4 linked regions of the Oryctolagus cuniculus genome follow. The protein of the gene in region 2 purifies or fractionates together with the protein of the main gene of each other region. This does not show direct contact. Links are inferred from orthologs where the notes say so. Each region holds a gene or a part of one and is shown on either strand. Other genes may lie near its edges.

What was found.
Region 1: the proteins of AP3M1 (region 2) and RABL6 purify together in Homo sapiens (co-immunoprecipitation; 3 studies listed by BioGRID and IntAct, counting the BioPlex papers as one, with this or other methods). This does not show direct contact. The link is inferred for Oryctolagus cuniculus from reciprocal best matches to the Homo sapiens genes AP3M1 and RABL6.
Region 3: the proteins of AP3M1 (region 2) and AP3S2 purify together in Homo sapiens (co-immunoprecipitation; 3 studies listed by BioGRID and IntAct, counting the BioPlex papers as one, with this or other methods). This does not show direct contact. The link is inferred for Oryctolagus cuniculus from reciprocal best matches to the Homo sapiens genes AP3M1 and AP3S2.
Region 4: the proteins of AP3M1 (region 2) and AP3B2 purify together in Homo sapiens (co-immunoprecipitation; 3 studies listed by BioGRID and IntAct, counting the BioPlex papers as one, with this or other methods). This does not show direct contact. The link is inferred for Oryctolagus cuniculus from reciprocal best matches to the Homo sapiens genes AP3M1 and AP3B2.

The regions. Positions count from the first base shown.
Region 1 is NC_091432.1:237,241,303-237,246,276, forward strand, and holds the start of RABL6 (rab-like protein 6), read left to right. Parts: upstream 1-1,772; 5' UTR 1,773-2,025; coding exon 2,026-2,155; intron 2,156-4,974. Other genes in the region: CCDC183 (coiled-coil domain-containing protein 183), read left to right, coding at 220-768, 921-1,031, 1,103-1,196, 1,465-1,583. UniProt on the Homo sapiens protein: May enhance cellular proliferation. May reduce growth inhibitory activity of CDKN2A.
Region 2 is NC_091446.1:65,204,208-65,209,026, forward strand, and holds the start of AP3M1 (AP-3 complex subunit mu-1), read right to left. Parts: upstream 3,419-4,819; 5' UTR 3,093-3,418; intron 1-3,092. Other genes in the region: ADK (adenosine kinase), read left to right, coding at 3,610-3,674. UniProt on the Homo sapiens protein: Part of the AP-3 complex, an adaptor-related complex which is not clathrin-associated. The complex is associated with the Golgi region as well as more peripheral structures.
Region 3 is NC_091443.1:99,932,650-99,937,543, forward strand, and holds the start of AP3S2 (AP-3 complex subunit sigma-2), read right to left. Parts: upstream 3,203-4,894; 5' UTR 3,175-3,202; coding exon of another isoform or gene 3,142-3,174; 5' UTR 3,113-3,141; coding exon 3,044-3,112; intron 1-3,043. UniProt on the Homo sapiens protein: Part of the AP-3 complex, an adaptor-related complex which is not clathrin-associated. The complex is associated with the Golgi region as well as more peripheral structures.
Region 4 is NC_091443.1:101,580,749-101,585,795, forward strand, and holds the start of AP3B2 (AP-3 complex subunit beta-2), read right to left. Parts: upstream 3,203-5,047; 5' UTR 2,946-3,202; coding exon 2,833-2,945; intron 1-2,832. Other genes in the region: uncharacterized protein, read right to left, coding at 3,607-3,639, 4,146-4,408, 4,679-4,883.

The DNA of each region.
Region 1 (4,974 bases), on a different chromosome or scaffold from region 2:
TCTGCCTCCTCCTTCAGCCCCTTCCCAAGTGACAGGGTGGCCAAGCTGACCACAGCCACCAGACGCTTCACCGGAGCGCCTTGTCCTCAGCCTCAGCCAAGTGCTGCAGGGCGGGACTTCGTCCCCAGCCGTGGCGCCCTCGGCTGGCTCGGCTCGCCCTCCGGGAGCCCCCTCCCTGCCTTCTTGGCTCAGTCCTGCCTTCTCTCCCCGGGCTGCCAGGACATCGCGGGCCGGTTCCTGTCTCAGAACAACACCGAGGAGAACCTGGGGCTGCAGATGCAGGACTGCGAGGGGCGGCGGGCGCAGCTGGAGGCCCTGATGAAGAAGCTGGAACTGGAGGAGGCCCTGCTCAAGTTCCACCAGACCCCCAGCTCCGTCAGGTGCGCGGGGGCTCCCGCAGCCCTGCAGGGGAGCTGGGCGCCGCCCGGCCCGGCCCTCAGGTGCCCCCACCGTTCTCAGCTTCAACTCCATCGAGAAGAGGCTGACAGACACGCTGCGGGCGGAGGAGGACCGGCTGCGGCTGGCTCGCAAGAGCGTGGCCAAGAGCCAGAAGCTGCTGCTGACCATCCAGACCGGCATCGACAACCTCTACATCCGGCTCATCGGCGTCGCCCTGCCGGCCGCACAGGTGCCCGGCGGGTGGGGGCCGCTTGCCAGGGCGAGGCAGAGGCCAGCCCAAGGCCCCCTCCCTGCACAGGTGCACAGCGCGGGTGGGGGCCGCTCGCTGGGGGGAGGCAGAGGCCAGCCCAAGGCCCCCTCCCTGCACAGGTGCACAGCGCGGGTGGGGGCCGCTCGCCGGGGGGAGGCAGAGGCCAGCCCAAGGCCCCCTCCCAGCAGTGGGGCCCAGGCCGGGTGGAGGGGTGGGATGGGGGCCCCGAGGTGAGGCCCAGGCCAGCCCAAGCCCTCCCCCCGCCACACAGGAGGAAGCAGCACCCCCCGACACCCTGGACGTGTGCTCCAAGCTGGCCTTCTGCGAGCGGAAGCTCACGTACCTAGCTGACAAAGTGCAGGCGCTGTCCAGGACTGAAGAGGTAACCGGGGGCGGGCGGGCCCCCCGGGCAGCCCCGGTGGCCGCAGAGCTGAGGGGGGGCTGTGCCTGCAGGTGGACACGAAGGTGAGGGAGGCGCTGGAGTCCTCGACCCTCAAGGAGAAGCGCAACACCCGGATCAGCTTTGAGGACCTGGAGGATATGATAGGTGCGCGGGGGGCCTGGGCTGGGGGCGGGGCGCGTGCCCCTGTCCCACCGGCACATCCTGGTCAACCTGGTCATCCCCGTGGGGCTGCAGGAACCCAGAGGGCCTTTAAGTGATGGGGTGACCGGGCGGCGGCGCAGGGCAGCCACGGCCTCGGGGACAAGTCACGGCCCAGGGGCGGCAGCGCGGAGAGGCGGCCGCGAGTCGGAGGGTGCGGGGGACAGCGGCGGGCGCGCAGGGACCGGGCTGCCAGCCGCGCCGCGCCCCGCAGACACCTTCCAGTTCGCGGACATGGACCACAGCTACGTCCCGTCGCGGGCCGACATCAAGAAGCAGGCGCAGGGGCTGATCGAAGCGAAGTTCAAGTCGGCCAAGAAGAAGAAGAAGTAGCCCCGCCCGCCCCAGCCCGCGCTTTCGTACACGAATAAACATTTTTCCAGCATTGCCTAGGCGCGCGGCCCTCGGGGTCTCCAGGGACAGGGACTGGGCGGGGCTCGGGGGCGGGGCGGGGGCGGGGCGGGGGCGTGTCCCGGGTAGCCCGGCCCGCGCGTGCGCCGTCCGCCCCGCGCCCGTGGCCCTCGCGGCGCGCCGTAGCCGAGCGGCGCCAAGATGGCGGCGCTGGCGGGCGGAGAGCGGCCGCGCTGGGGGCCTCGGGGGCCAGCGCGGAGCCGCCGCAGCTGAGGACCGGCAGCCGCCTCAGGCAGGCTCGGCCTGCGGGAGGGCGCGCCGGCTCCGGCCTCGGGAAGGGTCTGGGCCGCCGGGACATGGTGCGCGCCGCGCCGCGCCGCAGCTGAGCTCCCGGGCCTCGCAGGCTCGGACGCGCCGCGCGAAGATGTTCTCCGCTCTCAAGAAGCTCGTGGGGTCGGAGCAGGCCCCTGGCCGGGACAAGCACATCCCCGCCGGGCTGCAGTCCATGAACCAGGCGCTGCAGAGGCGCTTCGCCAAGGGGGTGCAGTACAACAGTGAGTGCGCGGGCCGGCGGGGGGCGGCGGGGGGCGGGGGTCCCTGCGGGCGGCGGCCGGGGCGGGGTGGGCGGCGGGGGGCGGGGGTCCCTGCGGGCGGCGGCCGGGGCGGGGTGGGCGGCCGGGGGCCGCAGGTCGCCGCCGCCGCCAGCGCGCGCGACGGCGACCCGGGCTGCGCGGCGCTGCCCGCAGAACCTGCCCCGGCAGCTGCGGCGCCCTGTTGGCCCAGGGGACCTGCGGGGGACCCCGCCGGGGGGCTTGGCCCGCGCGCGCAGCAGGGCCGGTGGGCGCTGGAAGCCGCCGGCCTGGGGTCTCGGGTCGTCCGTGCGCCTGGAGCTCAGCGTGGAGCCGGGGTGCGAGCTGCGCCACACTTCTCGCCGCCTTCTTCTTTCTTTATTTTGGTGAGGACGTGGCCTGGAGGGCGGTGCGGGCGTTTAGGTTGGGCCCCGCGAGTCCGCGCGGGAGCTTACAGGTGTCAGCGGGGACCTCCGTCGGCCCCGCGTGCGGTCGGCGCGGACGCGCGCGCGCGCCCTTGCTTGGCTGCGGTCCCCAGGCCTTGCCTGACACCGAATCCCAGCGCCGTGCAGGGAGGCCTGCAACTGGACACCTGCGGCCCGGAGGCCCCTGGGCTGGCGGGGCGGCGCTCACCGCTCACCTGCCCCGAGCCTTCCCCGGAGCGACCCTGCGCCCTCCGTAGGGGAGCTGCGGGCTGGGCAGAGCTGAGCCTCCTCCGGGTCCCGAGGGTGAGGGTGGCCGGGCCCAGCCCCCCCGGGCAGAGGAGGACTTAGCGCAGCTCCTTAAAGGTTTCGTTATTTATTTCAGGGACAGAGTTACAGAGGGAGAGAGGGAGAGAGGGAGAGGGAAGGAGGGAGGGGGAGGGGGAGAGGGGGAGGGAGAGGGAGGGGTCTCCCACCCGCTGGTTCACTCCCCAGATGGTTGTAACGGCCAGGGCTGGGCCAAGCCGAAGTCAGCCTGGAGCTCCATCCGGGTCTCCCACGCGGGTGCAGGGCCCAAGGACTCGGGCATCGTCCACTGCTCTCCCAGGCCACAGCAGGAGCTGGATCGGAAGTGGAGCAGCCGGACTGGAACCAGCGCCTATGTGGGATGCGGGCACTGCAGGCGGCAGCTTTAACCCGCTACGCCCCGGCGCCGGCCCCAGGCTCTCAATAGTGTCGCAGGCAGGAGGATACAGCAGGGAGGCCCGCAGGCAGGTCAGGTTAGGGGCGTGGTCTGAGGGGACTGTGGTCTGAGGGGTTCCGTGGTCTGAGGGGACTGTGGTCTGAGGGGTTCCGTGGTCTGGGGGACGTGGTCTGAGGGGTTCCGTGGTCTGGGGGACGTGGTCTGGGGGGTTCCGTGGTCTGGGGGACGTCGTCGGGGGGATGTGGTCTGAGGGGACGTGGTCTGAGGGGTTCCGTGGTCTGAGGGGACTGTGGTCTGGGGGACGTGGTCTGAGGGGACTGTGGTCTGGGGGACGTGGTCTGAGGGGTTCCGTGGTCTGGGGGACGTGGTCTGAGGGGTTCCGTGGTCTGGGGGACGTCGTCGGGGGGATGTGGTCTGAGGGGACGTGGTCTGAGGGGTTCCGTGGTCTGAGGGGACGTGGTCTGAGGGGTTCCGTGGTCTGAGGGGTTCCGTGGTCTGAGGGGACGTGGTCTGGGGGACGTGGTCTGAGGGGTTCTGTGGTCTGAGGGGACTGTGGTCTGGGGGACGTGGTCTGGAGGACGTGCCTTTAGTGGCGGCCCTTTTTAGTTAGGGTCACTGTTCCCACGTGCTTGCGAGGAGGCGGCGGGCAGCTCGGCCGGAGGACAAGGCGTGGGTGGAGCGAGTCCGCTGAGCAGAGGGGTCTGGGGCCAGGACCACAGGGGAGTGGGGAGTGGGAGAGTAGGGGAGTGGGGAGTGGGTTCCGGCCCCAGAGGGGGGCTGGGCTGGGGCCTCCAGGCCTGGTGGGGAGCAGGGGAGCGAGGCGTGGGCTCGCTGGGTGCCGAGGACAGGCAGTGCTGGACGCTGGACGTGGCCCCGGCGCGAGGCGCGGGCACTGGGGTAGGCGTGGGCTTTTCGTGGTGTGAGATACAAGGACATGATCGCACGGTTGCAGGCAAGGTGGGACTGGGGCAGCCGAGGGTCTCCGCCAGGTGGGACTGGGGCGGCCGAGGGTCTCCGCCAGGTGGGACTGGGGCGGCCGAGGGTCTCCGCCAGGTGGGACTGGGGCGGCCGAGGGTCTCCGCCAGGTGGGACTGGGGCGGCCGAGGGTCTCCGCCAGGTGGGACTGGGGCGGCCGAGGGTCTCCGCCAGGTGGGACTGGGGCGGCCGAGGGTCTCCGCCAGGTGGGACTGGGGCGGCCGAGGGTCTCCGCCAGGTGGGACTGGGGCGGCCGAGGGTCTCCGCCAGGTGGGACTGGCGCGGCCGAGGGTCTCCGCCAGGTGGGACTGGGGCGGCCGAGGGTCTCCGCCAGGTGGGACTGGCGCGGCCGAGGGTCTCCGCCAGGTGGGACTGGGGCGGCCGAGGGTCTCCGCCAGGTGGGACTGGGGCGGCCGAGGGTCTCCGCCAGGTGGGACTGGGGCGGCCGAGGGTCTCCGCCAGGTGGGACTGGGGCGGCCGAGGGTCTCCGCCAGGTGGGACTGGGGCGGCCGAGGGTCTCCGCCAGGTGGGACTGGGGCGGCCGAGGGTCTCCGCCAGGTGGGACTGGCGCGGCCGAGGGTCTCCGCCAGGTGGGACTGGGGCGGCCGAGGGTCTCCGCCAGGTGGGACTGGGGCGGCCGAGGGTCTCCGCCAGGTGGGACTGGGGCGGCCGAGGGTCTCCGCCAGGTGGGACTGGGGCGGCCG
Region 2 (4,819 bases):
TTGTTAGATTCCACTTACCCACAGACTGCCAATCAAATCTCACCGCTAAAAAACTTTTTAAAAAAAATTTTTTTAAATTGAAATTGACAATTGTATTTATACATATGCAGAATGTGATGTTATAATTTATGAATAAAATGTGGAATGACTGAGTTAATTAACAAACCCAGAAAAATCTGATACCTCAGAATACTTTGTTTATCATCCATTAGTACATAAACTTATCTATGCTGTAATTGCAGGAACTCTATCTTGTTCCTCCTTATATCTGCAAGTGTCTAGTATACAAAATGTATTCAAAACTATTTGTTGAATGAGAATAAGAGGAATATAATGTTCTTTGTCTCACAAGACACAATTTTTTCTCACATGGAGATGCATTTTTAATACATAGAGGACACTGGTGATCTTGGTAAAAGGGGTTTTAGTGGTAGTTCAGTGGAAAACTGGAATAAAGGCATTGCAGTGTCCTGAGAAATAAATAGCAAATAGGAAAAAAGAGAGATGAATAAATTCTAAAGATACAGCTGTAAAGGGAATTGAAAAACAGGAAAATAAAGGGCTGTCACCGTGGTGCAGTGGGTTAAGCTGCCACCTGCAATGCTGACAACCTGTATGAGCACCAGTTCGAGTCCAGCCTGCTCCATTTCCAATCCAGTTCCCTGCTAATGTGCCTAGGAAAGCAGAAAAAGATGGTGAAGTACTTGGGCTTCTGCTATCCAGAAGCAGCCTCGTGGCTTTGGCCTGGCGCAGCCATGGTCATCGTGGTCATTTGGGGGAGTGAATCAGTAGATGGAAGCTAGCATTCTCTCTCTGCCTTTCAAGTAAATACATAAATCTTTCAGAAGAAAAGGAAGACAGGAAAAAAAATGGAGTAGATCCTGAAAGGTAAGAAGAATATTTCTCAAGGTTTAAAGGATGGTATGGACAGAGAGGGAAAAGCTGACGCAGGAGTGAGGGAATAAATGAAAGAAACGCCTTGAGGACACGGGAGAGGATGGCATTGGGAGTCAATGTGATTTAAAGAGAAGGGACCCTTTTAACTCTTCAAATAGAAGAGAAGAAAGTTTGTATTTGGTTTCAAGAAAATGATGACTTCTGTTTTCTCTGCATAATGCAATGGAAAGCCTCTTTTCCAAAAATACCATTTACGGGGCCAGTGCTGTGATATAGCAGGTAAAGCCACCGCCTGCAGTGCCGGCATCCCATATGGGCACCGGTTTGAGTCCCAGCTTTTCCACTTCTGATCCAGCTCTCTGCTGTGGCCTGGGAAAGCAACAGAAGATGGCCCGATTGCTTGGGCCCTGCACCCGTGTGGGAGACCCAGAGGAAGCACCTGGCTCCTGGCTTCAGATCGGCGCAGCTCTTGACAATTGTGGCCAATTGGAGAGTGAACCAGCGGATTGAGGGCCTCTCTCTGCCTCTCCTCTTTCTATGTAACTCTGACTTTCAAATAGATAAATAAATAAATCTTAAAGAAAAGAAAAAATAGAGAATTAAAAAAAATACCATTTGCTACTCATGAATTGAGATAAAACAGAGCTACTTAAAAATATCTAGTATATTGTTGAAAAGTCAGAAACACTGTAAAAATCACAAGGTTTATAAGAAAGGCTTGATAAGAAAAACGATCCTTATTGTAGAGAGCTCCCCTACTGATGATGTGTAAGTTTCAGGTAATTCTTCCTTTGCTCCACTTTTCCTATGGTCTGACTTGAAAACGTCTGGGGCTGGCACTGTGGTGTAGCCAGTAGATAAAGCCGCTGCCGGCAGTGCCGGCATCCCATATGGGCGCCGATTCGAGTCCTGGCTGCTCCACTTCCCATCCAGCTCTCTGCTATGGCCTGGGAAAGCAGAAGATGGCCCAGGTCCTTGGGACCCTGCACCCGCGTGGGAGACTTGGAGGAAGCTCCTGGCTTCGGATCGGTTCTGGCAGTTGTGGCCAATTGGGGAGTGAACCAACAGATGGAAGACCTTTCTCTATCTGTCTGTGTAACTTTGACTTTCAAATAAATAAATAAATCTGTAAAAAAAAAGTTCCTTTTCTTTCCAAAATTAATTCACCCACTGGTACCATATCATCCTCTTCCTTCTCATCCGGCATTTTCTCTTCTCTTTCTAGAACCCTTAATCTAGCACACTGATTATTTGCTTTCTACTCCCAAACACATGTCTTGTATTCGAAACAATCAAATTCAAACTTTTCATCTCACCACTCTGAGTAATCGGGCTTCATGCCCCAAATGATGAAGGATTAGTCTACACTGCATTATTAAAGCAGCTCTCTCAAACGGCCCAAAGATTCTCTAGCCTTCAACACTTTACTACTTACTCTTCGATTTCAGCTTCCTGCTTGGGCTCTTGCAGCATTTCATGTCTGATAACCTTCCTGAACACACCACAAAGGCTTCTTATCATACTCTACGGAATGTCATGGTTTTGTTTCTCACCCTGAAACTTAATTCCCAGTTTAGTTCTCAGAGGTCGCCCCTCCGCACACAAAATTAATCTCTGCTAATCTCCACCTAAAACATTCTTTCCAATTCGATAAATCCCACAACTCCACACAACCCCTTCTCCTTTTGTGATGGCTCCCAATTTTATACTGACATCACCTTCTTCATCAAATAGGCTGTAAATTCAGGTGCAAACGAATCTAAAGCCAACATGCCACATTGCCCACTTTTCCACAGTCACCTTTCTTCGGAACAACGGCAACATCCTCCTAGTATTCTCCACCCTCTAACAGGATGTCCGCTCAGGGCCATTAGGAGTTTTGTCATCCAAAAAGGAACCCTGGGGCTAATTCGAATAGTCAGAACTCCAGCTCCCTGAGGCAACAAGACCCTTTTCCCGTCCGGGAGCACGGAGAAGGACGCCTACAAGCAGGACCTTGTGCCTGGGAACACTGCCCTGCAGGTGCATCTTTCTCTTCCGGCCCAGCTGGCAGGAAAGCCCGGAAGGCCGGGAGCCGGAGAGAGGTGCGGCTCCAGGTCGCAGCAACAGAGACGCTCCTGGGGCCCAGAGCCTCAGCCATTCAGCCTACTACCCAGCTGTCCCCTGTCTGCAGACTCCCCAGTCTCCGCACTCACCCGGACACCCAGGCCAGTCAGTCTGATTCGGCGCCGGGTCCTCTCCGGACCAAAGCTGAGGCAGCAGAGAAAGCCGTGAGGACCCCGCAGTTGGAGTGCCCAGAAGATCGCCTGACTAACAGCTTCAAAGACTCAAACTCGGTCTCCCGAATTAGAAAGATTAAATAGCAAGATAGGCGTTAGGTGAGAGAAAAGAAATTTCTTAATGTTTGGGATTTAAGTCTGCTAGTTCATCTAGGATCTAGGAAAAGGGCGGGATTCCGCACCGTTTGGACTCAGGCGCTCATCTGCAGCCTAACTCAGTCTCGGGTCCCCTACAGTGGAGTGGGTGGGGCCATGAGGGGGCGGGGCAATACAGGGGTAGAGCCAATGGTGGTGGGTGAGAGAGTCATGGAATGGGCGGTGTTTCGGAGGGCGGGGTTTGGAGAAAAAAGGCGGTGATGCGTGGAGGGGGCGGGCTCAGAGGGCCGAGGGGGTGGGGCGGTCGGTGGAGCCCAAGTAGGGTGGGAGCGCGAAGATGGCAGCTGCTGAGGAAGAGCCAAAGCCCAAAAAACTGAAGGTGGAGGCGCCGCGAGCGCTGAGGTGAGCGCTGCCCGAAGTGGGGAGGAGGGTGACGGCGCCTTCAGCAAGCTAGGGCCCACGTGGGGTTGCGCAGCCCCGGCGTTCGGTGGTGTCCGGCTGCCTGCCTGCATGGGGCCAGCACGCCCGACCTGTCACTCAGGGAGCTGCTCGCGTGGCCGCGACCCCTCGCCCGTCCCCATCTAAGTTTACTTGACTGGTCGTCCGCTCCAGTGCAGCTCCGGTTCTGGCAGCTCTCCGCTAGTCAGGGCGGCCGGCGGTGGTTGGTGGTAGTGGGGGGAACTGAAGCCGATTGCAGGCACCACGTGCGTCCCGCGCTGCTGGACTGGTGCGACCCTGGAGGACCGGTCCGGAGCAGCGTCCGTAGGCAGCCACCTTCGCTTCCCAGAGGGAAAGCGGGGAGAAGGCCTGTGTCTGTCCAGCTCCGGGACAAACAGAATTCTTGGGAATTTTTTGACAAATGTCGAGGAAGGATGCCTTGACCTAAGGCATACGCACTTTGAAAACTGGCACCTTTGGAGACCTTCTGTCGGGGACCCATACCCCACCTGGGAGGCTTTGCAGGCCGAGTGGATGGGAAGGGCTGGTTTTCTTTTTTATTTGCATTTTTTTTGGCTGCAGTTTAGAATTTCTTTCCCCAACACCAGTCTCATGTATGATTGATGTTGCAACTTTAACTTACAAAAAGTCGTTTGTTAAAAACTGCCTTCCTAGCAAGTATAAAGTGCAGCGGCACAGTCTTTGATGATTTTGAAGTGTTCGTTGGAAGGCGGGGATTTTTTTAAATCTAAAAATAAACTTTCAAACTAATTTAAAGCTATTGAAACACTACTGATTATACAAATTCCATTTCTTCCAACTCTTCTTCGCTTCCAGAAGATTGATTTCATTCCTAATTGAAAACGTCATTTAGGGACATGGTAGTGTGTTCATACTGTTTTGAAAGGAGAGAGAGACTAAATCCCTGCCAGTGCTTCTTTTTTTTTTTTTTTTTTAAGATTTATTTATTTATTTGAAAGGCAGAGTTACAGAGAGGCTGAGGGGGAGAGAGAGAGAGAGAGAGAGAAATAAAGTAAGTCTTCCACACACTGGTCCACTCCCAAGATGACCGCAACGGTCGCAACCACGCAGATCCAAAGCCAGGAGCC
Region 3 (4,894 bases), on a different chromosome or scaffold from region 2:
AGTAGAAGTGGCCCAAGTCCTTGGACCCCTGCACCCACATGGGAGACCCGGAAGAAGCTCCTAGCTCCTGGCTTCGGACTGGTGCAGCTCCAGTTGCGGCCAACTGGGGAGTGAACCAGCGGATGAAAGACCTCTCTCTCTGTCTCTCCTTCTCTCTGTGTGTAACTCTGACTTTAAAATAAATAATAAATAAATCTTTAAAAAAAAAACGGGCAGGAACATCTTCTGAACTACAAGCTTATTCTCTAACTCTAAAGGGGAAGTGGTAGAGGGGAAATGATGTCAAACGGTCAGACTACCTAATTTCTAGTTCAATAAAAAGGTTAACTACCAGTTGCTTGCATGTTCCAGTTATTTTATCAACTCCTTTTATCTTTAATCTTCTGCAATCTTCACTCGTGAGTTTCTTATAAAAACCCTATGAGAGTCAAAGATTTACAAATAGCCAACAAGCACATAGACAAGATATTCATGGAACTAGAAATCAAAACCAGGGTAAGACACACCGCACTGGGCCAGCACTGTGCTGTAGTGATGCCGGTATCCCATATGGGCACCAGTTCGAGTCCTGGCTGCTCCACTTCCGATCCACCTCCCAAAAGCAGAAGATAGCCCAAGTGCTTGAGCCCCTGACTCAAGTGGGAGACCTGGAGGAATCTCTGGCTTCAGCCTGGCTCCCATCTGGGGAGCAAACAGCAGATGGAAGATCTCTCTCTGTCTCTCCTACCTCTTTCAAATAAATAAATACATCTTAAAAAAAAAAAAAAGATACACTGCACTCACTAAAATGCCTTTACTCAAAAAGATAGACAATGTTTATTATGAGGTGGAGAAATTGAAGGCTTATACAAAGCTGACAGAAATGAAACATCGTGCAGTCACGTGGAAAACAGTCTGGCAGTTCCTCAAAACATTCACCATAGAATTAGCATACGGCCCAGCAATGCTACTCCTGGGTACACACCCAAGAGGAATGAGAGAAATTCTGTTCACACAAAAACCTCACTGTCCACCCAGCATTATCACCAGAGCCAAAGCAGGAAACACCAACTGATGAATGGACACCAAAAGGTGGGGGACCCAGGGCAGGTGTCTGGCCTGGAAGCTAAGCTGCCAGGTCGGACAGCTGAGTCCCAGGTTCAAGGCCCAACTCTGCTCCTGCTCCAGCTTCCTGCAGATGCAGGTCGGGCAGGGGTGGCCGCAGTGGTGGCCCAAGTGACTGGGTCCACTCACGTGGGAGACCTGAAGCTGAGTTCCTGGATCTGGGCTGCACTGCCAGCCAGGGGCTATCTGGGGCATCTGGACAGTGAATCAGCTCCTTCTGCCTCTTAAATAAAAAAAGAAAGAAAAGATTTAACATTTTCTTCCAGGGCCAGCACTGTGGCACAGCAGGTTAAGCAGCCACCTGTGACACCGCATCCCGTGAGCGCCGGTTCAAATCCCTGCTGGCACCTGGGGGAAGCAGAACCAGGTGCTTCAGCCCCTGCCCCCAGGTGGGAGACCAGAGTGGAGCCCCTGGCTTCAGCCCAGCCGGCTATGGCTGTGGTGATCGTTTGGGGAATATACCAGAGGACGGAGGGCCTCTTTCTGTCTTTCCCTCTCTCTACTCTTCCAAATAAATACGTGTTTTTAAAATGTGACATATACATACAATGGAGTATTATTAGGCAACACAAAGTAATGAAGAACAGATACACGCTATAACATGGAAGAACATTAAGTAAAAGAAGATAGACACAAAAGACCACATATTGTCTGATTCCACTTAAATGGACTGTCCAGGATAGGCAAATTTAGGCAGAAGGGAGCTAAGTGGTTGCCCAGGCCTGCAGTATTTGCTGCTAATGGGCAGGGCTTCTAAGCAAAGTTGTGGTGATGGTTGCACACCTTTGTGAACACTACAAACCACTTGGAGCTACAGTGTATTTTTAAAGGTATTTGAGAGGCAGAGAGACGGAAAGAAACAGCAATAACTCCCCAAATGTCCTTGGCACCCAGACTGAAACCAATCCAGCCCCGGGGGTGGCAGGGACGCGGTGAGCTGAGCCATCACCTGCCGCCTCCTCAGGTCCGCAGAAGCTGGACTGAGGAGCGGAGCCCAGACCGGAAGTCTGGCATCCACCACGGCAGGTGGGCAGCCCACGCAGCACCTCGAGGCCGCGTCCCCGCATGCACACTTCAAGTAAGTGAACCGTGCGGTGGGTGAGGGATCTCAGCAACTGTCAGAAAAACACTGGGGTGGCGGGCGAGGATCCACAAACGCAAATACAGGTTTAACAGTGAGGCGGAATGCTTGTCATTTTTAGCGCGCTGTCGTCTGAAAAAATCTCGCTTTAGAAATCCTACGAAAAGGCTAGGGTTGTTTTTCATTTGTACTGGACAGAGACTGGAGTACAGGTCCGGAAGAGGTTTATTAGCTTGCCAAAAGCAGGAAAAGTGAGCTGTGTTTGTGTTTTTCTCGTGAAATGTTGTTTTTTTTTTTTTTTTTTTTTTGAAAATCCAAATTCACATGATCATTTATTGAGATGTCCCGCGGCAGCAAGCGTCATTTCCCACCAACTTCCCGCCCTAAAGCTGGCTTTCTTCAACCCTACAGTGCAGAGAAGCGCCCGGGCGGTCCCAAGCCAACACTGAAGCCAAGACCATTGCAAGAAAAGGACTTTCTCAGTCCTCCCGGCTAAAACAAGAATTTAAAGCAGATCAATGCTTTTCCCTCCTCATGCAACTGCGGCCAACAACCAGAAAGTAGAAACCAAGGGGCTCCAGCACTCATATTCTCGGCGAGGCACACTCCCCACCGCGGCTCCACCCCGGGAAGCGCCGGGGTCCCGAAAGGGTACAGAGGACAACAGGGCGGTGAGGCGGTGGCCTGCGGGCCGGACGTCGGCCCCTGCCCAAAGGACGCAAGGAGCTGAAGAGCGTGAGGGTCATGCGGGGCGCAGGAACCCGAAGTGGTCAACAAGCGGCGCGCAGAGAGGCCAAAGGGGGAGGGAAGAGGGCGCAGACGCCAGGAAGGGGCGTGGCGAAGCCGGGCCGCACTCACGAAACGCTGGTAGAAGCGGACCAGCCGTGGCTTTCCGTGGTTGTTGAAAACCAAAATTGCCTGAATCATCTTTGCGGACCATGCAACCCCCTCAGCACCTGCTGTTCCCAGAAAGCACCTCTTCCCGTCATAACACGGGCACTTCCGGTTGGTACGCGGCTAAGAGCCTCGCCCGGAAACTAGGCTCCGGCGCCCCGCAGTCCGAGCACTAAAGGGTCCGGGGCCCCCTGAGGCCCTGCAGAGGGCGGAGAGCTCGCCGGGGATGGGGCAGATGTGGACAGCAAGGAGCGAGACCGGATGGGACGCGAATCCGGATCCTGAGCCCCTCGTCCACACGGACCGCTGCATATCCAGAATCCTGGCCGGGGCGAAAAGCCGAGCACGTCGGAAAAGCAGATCCGGAGGCAGAAACGGCACCGTCCGCGTCGAATCCGCAGTCCTTTCCCGGGACGATCCGCTGAGTGTAGACCCCAGTTGGCGTGGCCATTCCTCGGCTAAGGAACGGTTAATTCGTGCTTCTTTCTCAGTGTTGCGCACAATGCTGCTGTGAATTAGGGTCGTCTCCAGGTGTAGGAGGGCTGCTGCCGGGGTAGCTGGTGAATGGGCGGATTCTGGGGTCTTTAATGCAGTTCCACGTGGAAGGCACTGCGGTCCCAAGTTGGGAAAGTTCTTGCTTTTTTCTGTTCGTGAGCTGGTGTATGTGAAGTGCAGCCCGTCCGTACACAGCGAATGGAGCTGCAGAGCTCTCTCCAGGGCTGTTTGGCAATATGTATTTAAAACACACACACACACACACACACACACTTTAAATATGTAAATTAGGCCCGGAGATTCCAGTTCTAGATTTTGTAATAAAATGGCTGAGGGTGTGTGAAAAGGTGCCTCAAGACACCCACCCCCTGCCCCCGGGTCGACGCTGTGGTGTAGCAGGTAAAGCCACTGCCTACAGTGCAGGCATCCCATAGGGCGCCGGTTCCAGTCCCGGCTGCTCTACTTCTGATCTAGCTCTCTGCTAATGGCCTGGGAAAAGCAGCAGAGGATGGCCCAGGTGCTTGGGCTCTTGCCACCCCCATGGGAGACCCAGAAGAAGATCCAGGCTCCTGGTTTTAGCCTAGTCCAGCCCTGGCTGTTGTTGCCATCTGTGGAGTGAACCAGCAGATGGAAGATCTCTGTCTCTCCCTTTCTCTCTGGAACTCTGCCTTTCAAATAAATTAATAAATAAATCTTTTAAAAAAAGTTTTAGGATAACTGGTTAGCACTTTGGAAATAGGCAAATTAGTTACATCATTTCATACCTACCCTTAAGTTATAGGCAGAGTTTAGTATAAAACCAAATAATAATCAAAATGGAAAACAAACATCTTAAAAGAGAATATATTTATTGTAGGAGCAATAAAAAATCACAAATAGAACATATACAATTAGAGAGATTCTAATTTTTGTAAGACAAATTTTTAAACATAGAAAATAGTTGTGGGGCCGACGCTGTGGCGTAGCAAGTAAAGCCACCCCCTGCAGTGTCAGCATCCCATATGGGCGTGAGTTCGAGTCCTGTCTGTTCCACTTCCCATCCAGCTCTCTGCTATGGCCTGGGAAAGCAGTAGAAGATGGCCCAAGTCCTTGGGCCCCTGTACCCTTGTGGAAGATCCAGAAGAAGCTTCTGGCTCATGGCTTCGGATAGGCCCAGCTACTGCCATTGTGGTCATTTGGGGAATGGATAGAAGACTTCCCTCTCTTTCTCTGACTTTCTTCTCCGATTCTGCCTTTCTTTTTTTCTTTCTTTCTTTTTTTAAGATTTTATTTATTTGAGAGGTAGCATTACAGACAGAGAAGGAAAGACAGAGAGGTCTT
Region 4 (5,047 bases), on a different chromosome or scaffold from region 2:
GAGACTGGGTGTTTCGGGTTGAGCAGGACTTGTCTCCCCAAACCTCACGCAGATACGCTAAAGGTTGCCGGAGTAAGGTGCCGACTTGATCCAGTGACAGCCTCTGTGAGGCATGTCTGGTGGGAGGCGTGCAGGTCAGTGGGGGCTCCTCCTCGGAGGGTTGATTATTATCAGAGTTCAAGTTCGGCCTAGGAGTTTCCCCTCTCTGCTTCTTGGCTCACGGTGTGACCGTCTCTCCGCGCCCATGAGAGACGCCGGACTACAGGGCTACCTGCTGCTGCACCGTAGCCTCCACTCCATAAGCCGAACTAGACCTCTCCTTTCCCAAGAAGTGAATATTTTAGTTACAGTGACAAAAAGGGGGCTAAGTCTACACCCCACATCCCAGACTCCAGGCAGAGGGGCAGGGTGTTGTACAAACAGAAGCCAGGGACCCCCCCCATGACCACCCCCAGACCTCAGCTTCCCGGGGAGCCTTCCACAGCCCCTCCCCATCTCTGACCCCAAGCCTCGGGCTCCTCCCTTGCCTTGGCAGAGCCAGCCCTTGGTTTCTTCCTTCCTCTCAGCCTTTTATCTCTATCTCCACCCCACCACCCTGGGGCCATCCTTTGGTCACCTCCTTAGCCCTCCACGCCCCGCCTGCCAGCCAGCCCCCACCTGCCAGCCAGCGCTGGTTGACTTCACTTGCCATGAGTACCGAGTACTGAGCCCCTCGACCCGAAAAGTTCCCACTCCCAGTCTTGCTCTCCACTACCTGCCTCTCCCCAAAAATGAAAGGCTGCAGGTAAAATCCCCCGCAGCTCACGGTGCGCACCTGTGCCCGCTTGTCCTCCGTCTGGGCAGAGCTGCTCCTCCCGGCACTCGGAGATCCGGGCTTCCTCTATGCCCCCTGCCTCCCCGCCTCCCACACTCCTGTCTCCTACCCAGCCACATTCAGCTTGCTGTAGACGCCTCCCAGCCTCATACCAAACACAAAAATAACAGCAAAAGAGACAAACAAACCTCAGAACTGGAGTTCCCTTGAGCAGTTCTCTCTCTCTCCTTTGCAATCAAGCTTCTTAAAAGCCACGTTCCCACTCACTGTTTTACTTATTCACCTCCCACTTGCCCTTTTATTCACTCCAGCCTGGGTTTAGATGCTGGGTCACGAACATAGCCAAATGCAGATATGGATAAGCAGAGACGGTGCCGTTCCAACAGTGGCCAAACCTACATGGATGACACATGTGCATCCGTTGCATTTGTTCACCTTTTCTGCATGGTTAAAGTCGATCATGATAGAATGTTGGGGGAAAAAAAAAATCTAGTTCCTGTCTGGTCTCCTAGGGCAGGAGATGAGGACTGGATGACCATTGTCATCCAATGGTCTCAAATCTCCTTCCCTGTTGGACTTGACCTTGGTGGACACTGATACTACTGACCATTCCCCTTCTTCCCGAAATCACACTTTGTTATCTTCCTGCCTGTTGCTTCACTTCTTCTTAGGTTCTCTGGTCACCCCTAATGTTATTTTCTGAGTTCTGTCCGAACTCACGTCCATCTGCAGCTTTAACGGACACATGTATATTAACAATCCCCTGACTGCTCTCATGGAATCCAAATCCCAATACCCATCTACCCACTAGCCTTGCATGGCCCTCGGAGGGCTACAATCTCAGCCTGTCCCAAGCTGGGCTCAGTATGCTTGCAATGCGTCTCTCTCCGATTACACTACAGAGCAGCCCCATCTATCCTGCTCAGGAGCTGGTAACCTGGGCGTCTCCCTTACCTTCTCCCAGCCCCTCTCTCCCACCCCCACGCCCCATATCCAACAATCACCAGGTCTGTAGCTCCCCCCTCCTCAATAGCCCTCAGATCCGCAGCCCCTCTGGGGAGCCTAGGCCACTGCTGCTCTGCCTGTCACCGTCACGCCCCCTCACTCGTCTCACCTGCCATCCCTTCTCCACAGTCCAGCCTGTAATCCTTCCAAAACACCCATCTGGTGATGGCACCAGCTTGGAACCCTCCAGCAGCCATTCCCAGCCTCATTTCTGGTCACTCCAGTGGCTCGCACGGTGATTCTGGCCACACTGCACCTGTGCCCGCAAAGCCGGGGGTCCCCACTCTCCTTCCTTCCCCATTCTCGTGCAAGTGCTTTGCTCTGCCTGGGAAGCCCCTCGCCCCACTCCCAGTGCCCCCACTGCACCGAACTGTCACTGTCTGGTTCTCATCTGTGCGCCTCTCCATAGCAACCTGAGAGCAGTTAGCGTCTCACGCTCACAGCTGCACGGTGGTCAGCACCGGCCAGCATAAGGCGGGCCTTTAATAATTGCTGATCGCAGAATGTACGGATAAACAAAATAATCAAAAGCGGATTGGAGGAAGGGATTGAAACAGAGGGGCAGTGTCGGGGGGCAGGAGGACAGCGTCGGGTGGGAGGTGGGGACCAGGGGGCAGAGAAAGGGCCCGGCCTGTGTCTGCACGCGGGGCGAGGCCCCAGGTCCAAACTCCTGTTTGCCGGCCTAGATCCCCATCCCCCACCTAAAAGAAAATCTGGAGCCCGCTCTCCTAGCGCGGAAAAACGTGGGAAACTCGCAAGCCGGCTGCAAACAGGAGGAACCCCAGAGAGGAAGCAGGCTGGCCCAGCCCCCACTCCGGGTCTGCCCCTCCGGACGGGGAGCGCCCATCGGGCCCGGGCTGCAGGGAAGGGGCTGGGCGGCCTTCCGGCGGGGCCAGGGCCCGGGCCGGGGCCGGGGCGGGGCCTGTGCGGGGCCAGGCGGGCGGGAGGGCCCGGGCGCTGTCCATGGTGCCCGCGCGCCTCGCCCAGGCCCGGCCCTCCGCGCGCTCGCTCACCGCTTGTAGTCGGAGGAGAAGATGCCGCCGCTCGCCGGGTCGTGGCCGTATTCGGGCTCCCCGGGGCCGGCGGAGCCGCCCTTGTCTTCGCTGTAGGCGGGGGCGGCCGACATGGGGAGGCCGGGGGTAGGGCTTCGCTGGGCAGGAGGAGGCTGCGGGGCCGGGGTCCGCGCCGGGGCCGAGGCCGGGAGGCCGCGCTGGGCGGACGAGGTCGGTGCGCGGCCCGCGCTCTGCAGAAGCTGCGGGTGGTGGTGTTGGCGGCGGGGCTGCTGCTGTGCGCGGGCGCATCAATCAGGGCCGCGCGCCGAGGTTCTTAAAGGCACCGGCGTCGGCGAGCCGAGGGCGCGTCCGCAAGGGGGCGGAGAGGGCAGCCGCGCCGGCCCCGCCCCAATCCCACGGAAATCCCCTCTCCCGGATGGTTCCTGCCCTTTAAAGGGACCTCGCGCACCTGCCAGGCTTGGGGTGGGTGAGGCTGGTGGGCGCAGAAGGGGACGGCCGTCCCGGGGATGCGCAACGCCTGCCCCGTCCTGCGACCGCCTGGCCTAGCGGCTCCGCTCACCACAGACACAGGAGAGGATGCTCACCCACCCAAAGGGGGAGGGGGACAGGAGGTGGTGCCGTCTATGGAGAGGCTGGCGGGGTGGGGGGGACTTCCAGGCAGAGAGGTGGGTTATGGGTTACAGAAGACAGCGAAACCGTAATGAAGCTTTGGAAAAATACTTTAATGACCCCTTCTGAGGTCCCCACACCATCAAGGAGGGCCCAAGGTCACGCCTAGTCCACGGTTAGGTCCATGTCCATAGACACCTAGGAAGGAAGGGAAAAGGCTGGGTTAGGGGCTGGTGCGACCACCAGGACTCCTGGGTCGTGTGATGTCGGGGTGGGGCGGGGGAGAGGAAGGTAGGACTGCCGGCCAGACTCAGAAAGAAGAAAACAAACTCGGCTGGCAGGAGGAGTAGGCTCTCCATGGGCCAGCGTTTGAGGCATCAAGTTGGGTGGCCAGGGACCTCTGGGCTGGGCTTGGGTCGTGTTAGAGTTCATAAGGACTGGTCTAATTGTAATAAAATTAACAGCTCCTCTGTGGACAGGGACCGCGAATGCTCAGAGGCCAGGTGGAAATGGACAGGGCCTGGGAAGGCGGAGCTTGGCTCAGTAGGAAGAGTCTGTTGGGGGAATGAGAATGTGGCCGGGATCTGTGAGCTTGGGGCCTGCCCGAATAAAGTTCATCTGGAGTTCGGAGGCACGCGGCTCCGGTGGAGGGCAGAGGGTCTGGATTTAAGAGGACCCCCCCCCCCCATGGAATCCGCGCTTACCAAGCTGCCGGGGTCCCCTTCCGGGTGGATCAGGCTCAGAGCAAAGTGCACGCAGTTGCTGCGCGTGGGGTGATAGACAGGCGGGTCGGCGTCCATGGCCTCGCGGACGCGGCGCTCCAACAGCGCGCGGTCCACGCCGCCGCGCCGCCTTAGCACACGCCAGAGCAGGCGGGAGCGCAGCAGCGGGCGCTGGCCCTGTTTGCACACCACGCCTTCGGAGGAGCGCACTACGGAGTCCAACCCGAAGCCGCCGGAGCTCCTGCCTGTGGGTTTTGCCAGCCAGCGACACATCAGAGCCAGGTTTAGGCGCTGTGCCCCGTGGCCCTGCACCCGCACTGCCGCCACCTGAGGCCCCCTGAGGCCCCCTGAGCCCCACACTCTGGCTGCTCAAGCAGGCATCTTCAGAGACCCACGCCCACAGCCCAGGACCACGGTATTCACCCCGGAACGGCCGGCCCGCTGCTGGGGTGTGCATGGCCCGGCCGCCCCTCCCTGCACTCGTGGGCCCGTGTGTTTCAGTTGGAGGTGCTCACCCTCAAAGTGGATGATCTCTCCACGGCCACAGTATACACCCACGTGGGCCCCGCACCAAAAGTCTCGCAAGGGGGACATCATCCTGAACAGGAAGAGGTCTCCAGGCTCCGGCTCCCTGTCGCTCAGCTCCACAATCTCAAAGTGCTGACCCAGGTAAGCCTCAGAGAGGAAGAACTTAATGGTGCTGACTGCCCCAGTCACGGTCTGGGAAGAGAAAGGGATTAGGCCACAGGGCATTTGCACATGCTGCTGGAAAGAGTGGTTGGGTCCTTCCACTGACCACAGTGCTGCATCCCGGGCTCCACACCTGCTTCTCTGTGCTGAGTGACTCCAGAGGCCTGGACATCAGGTACTCAAACATGCTGTCC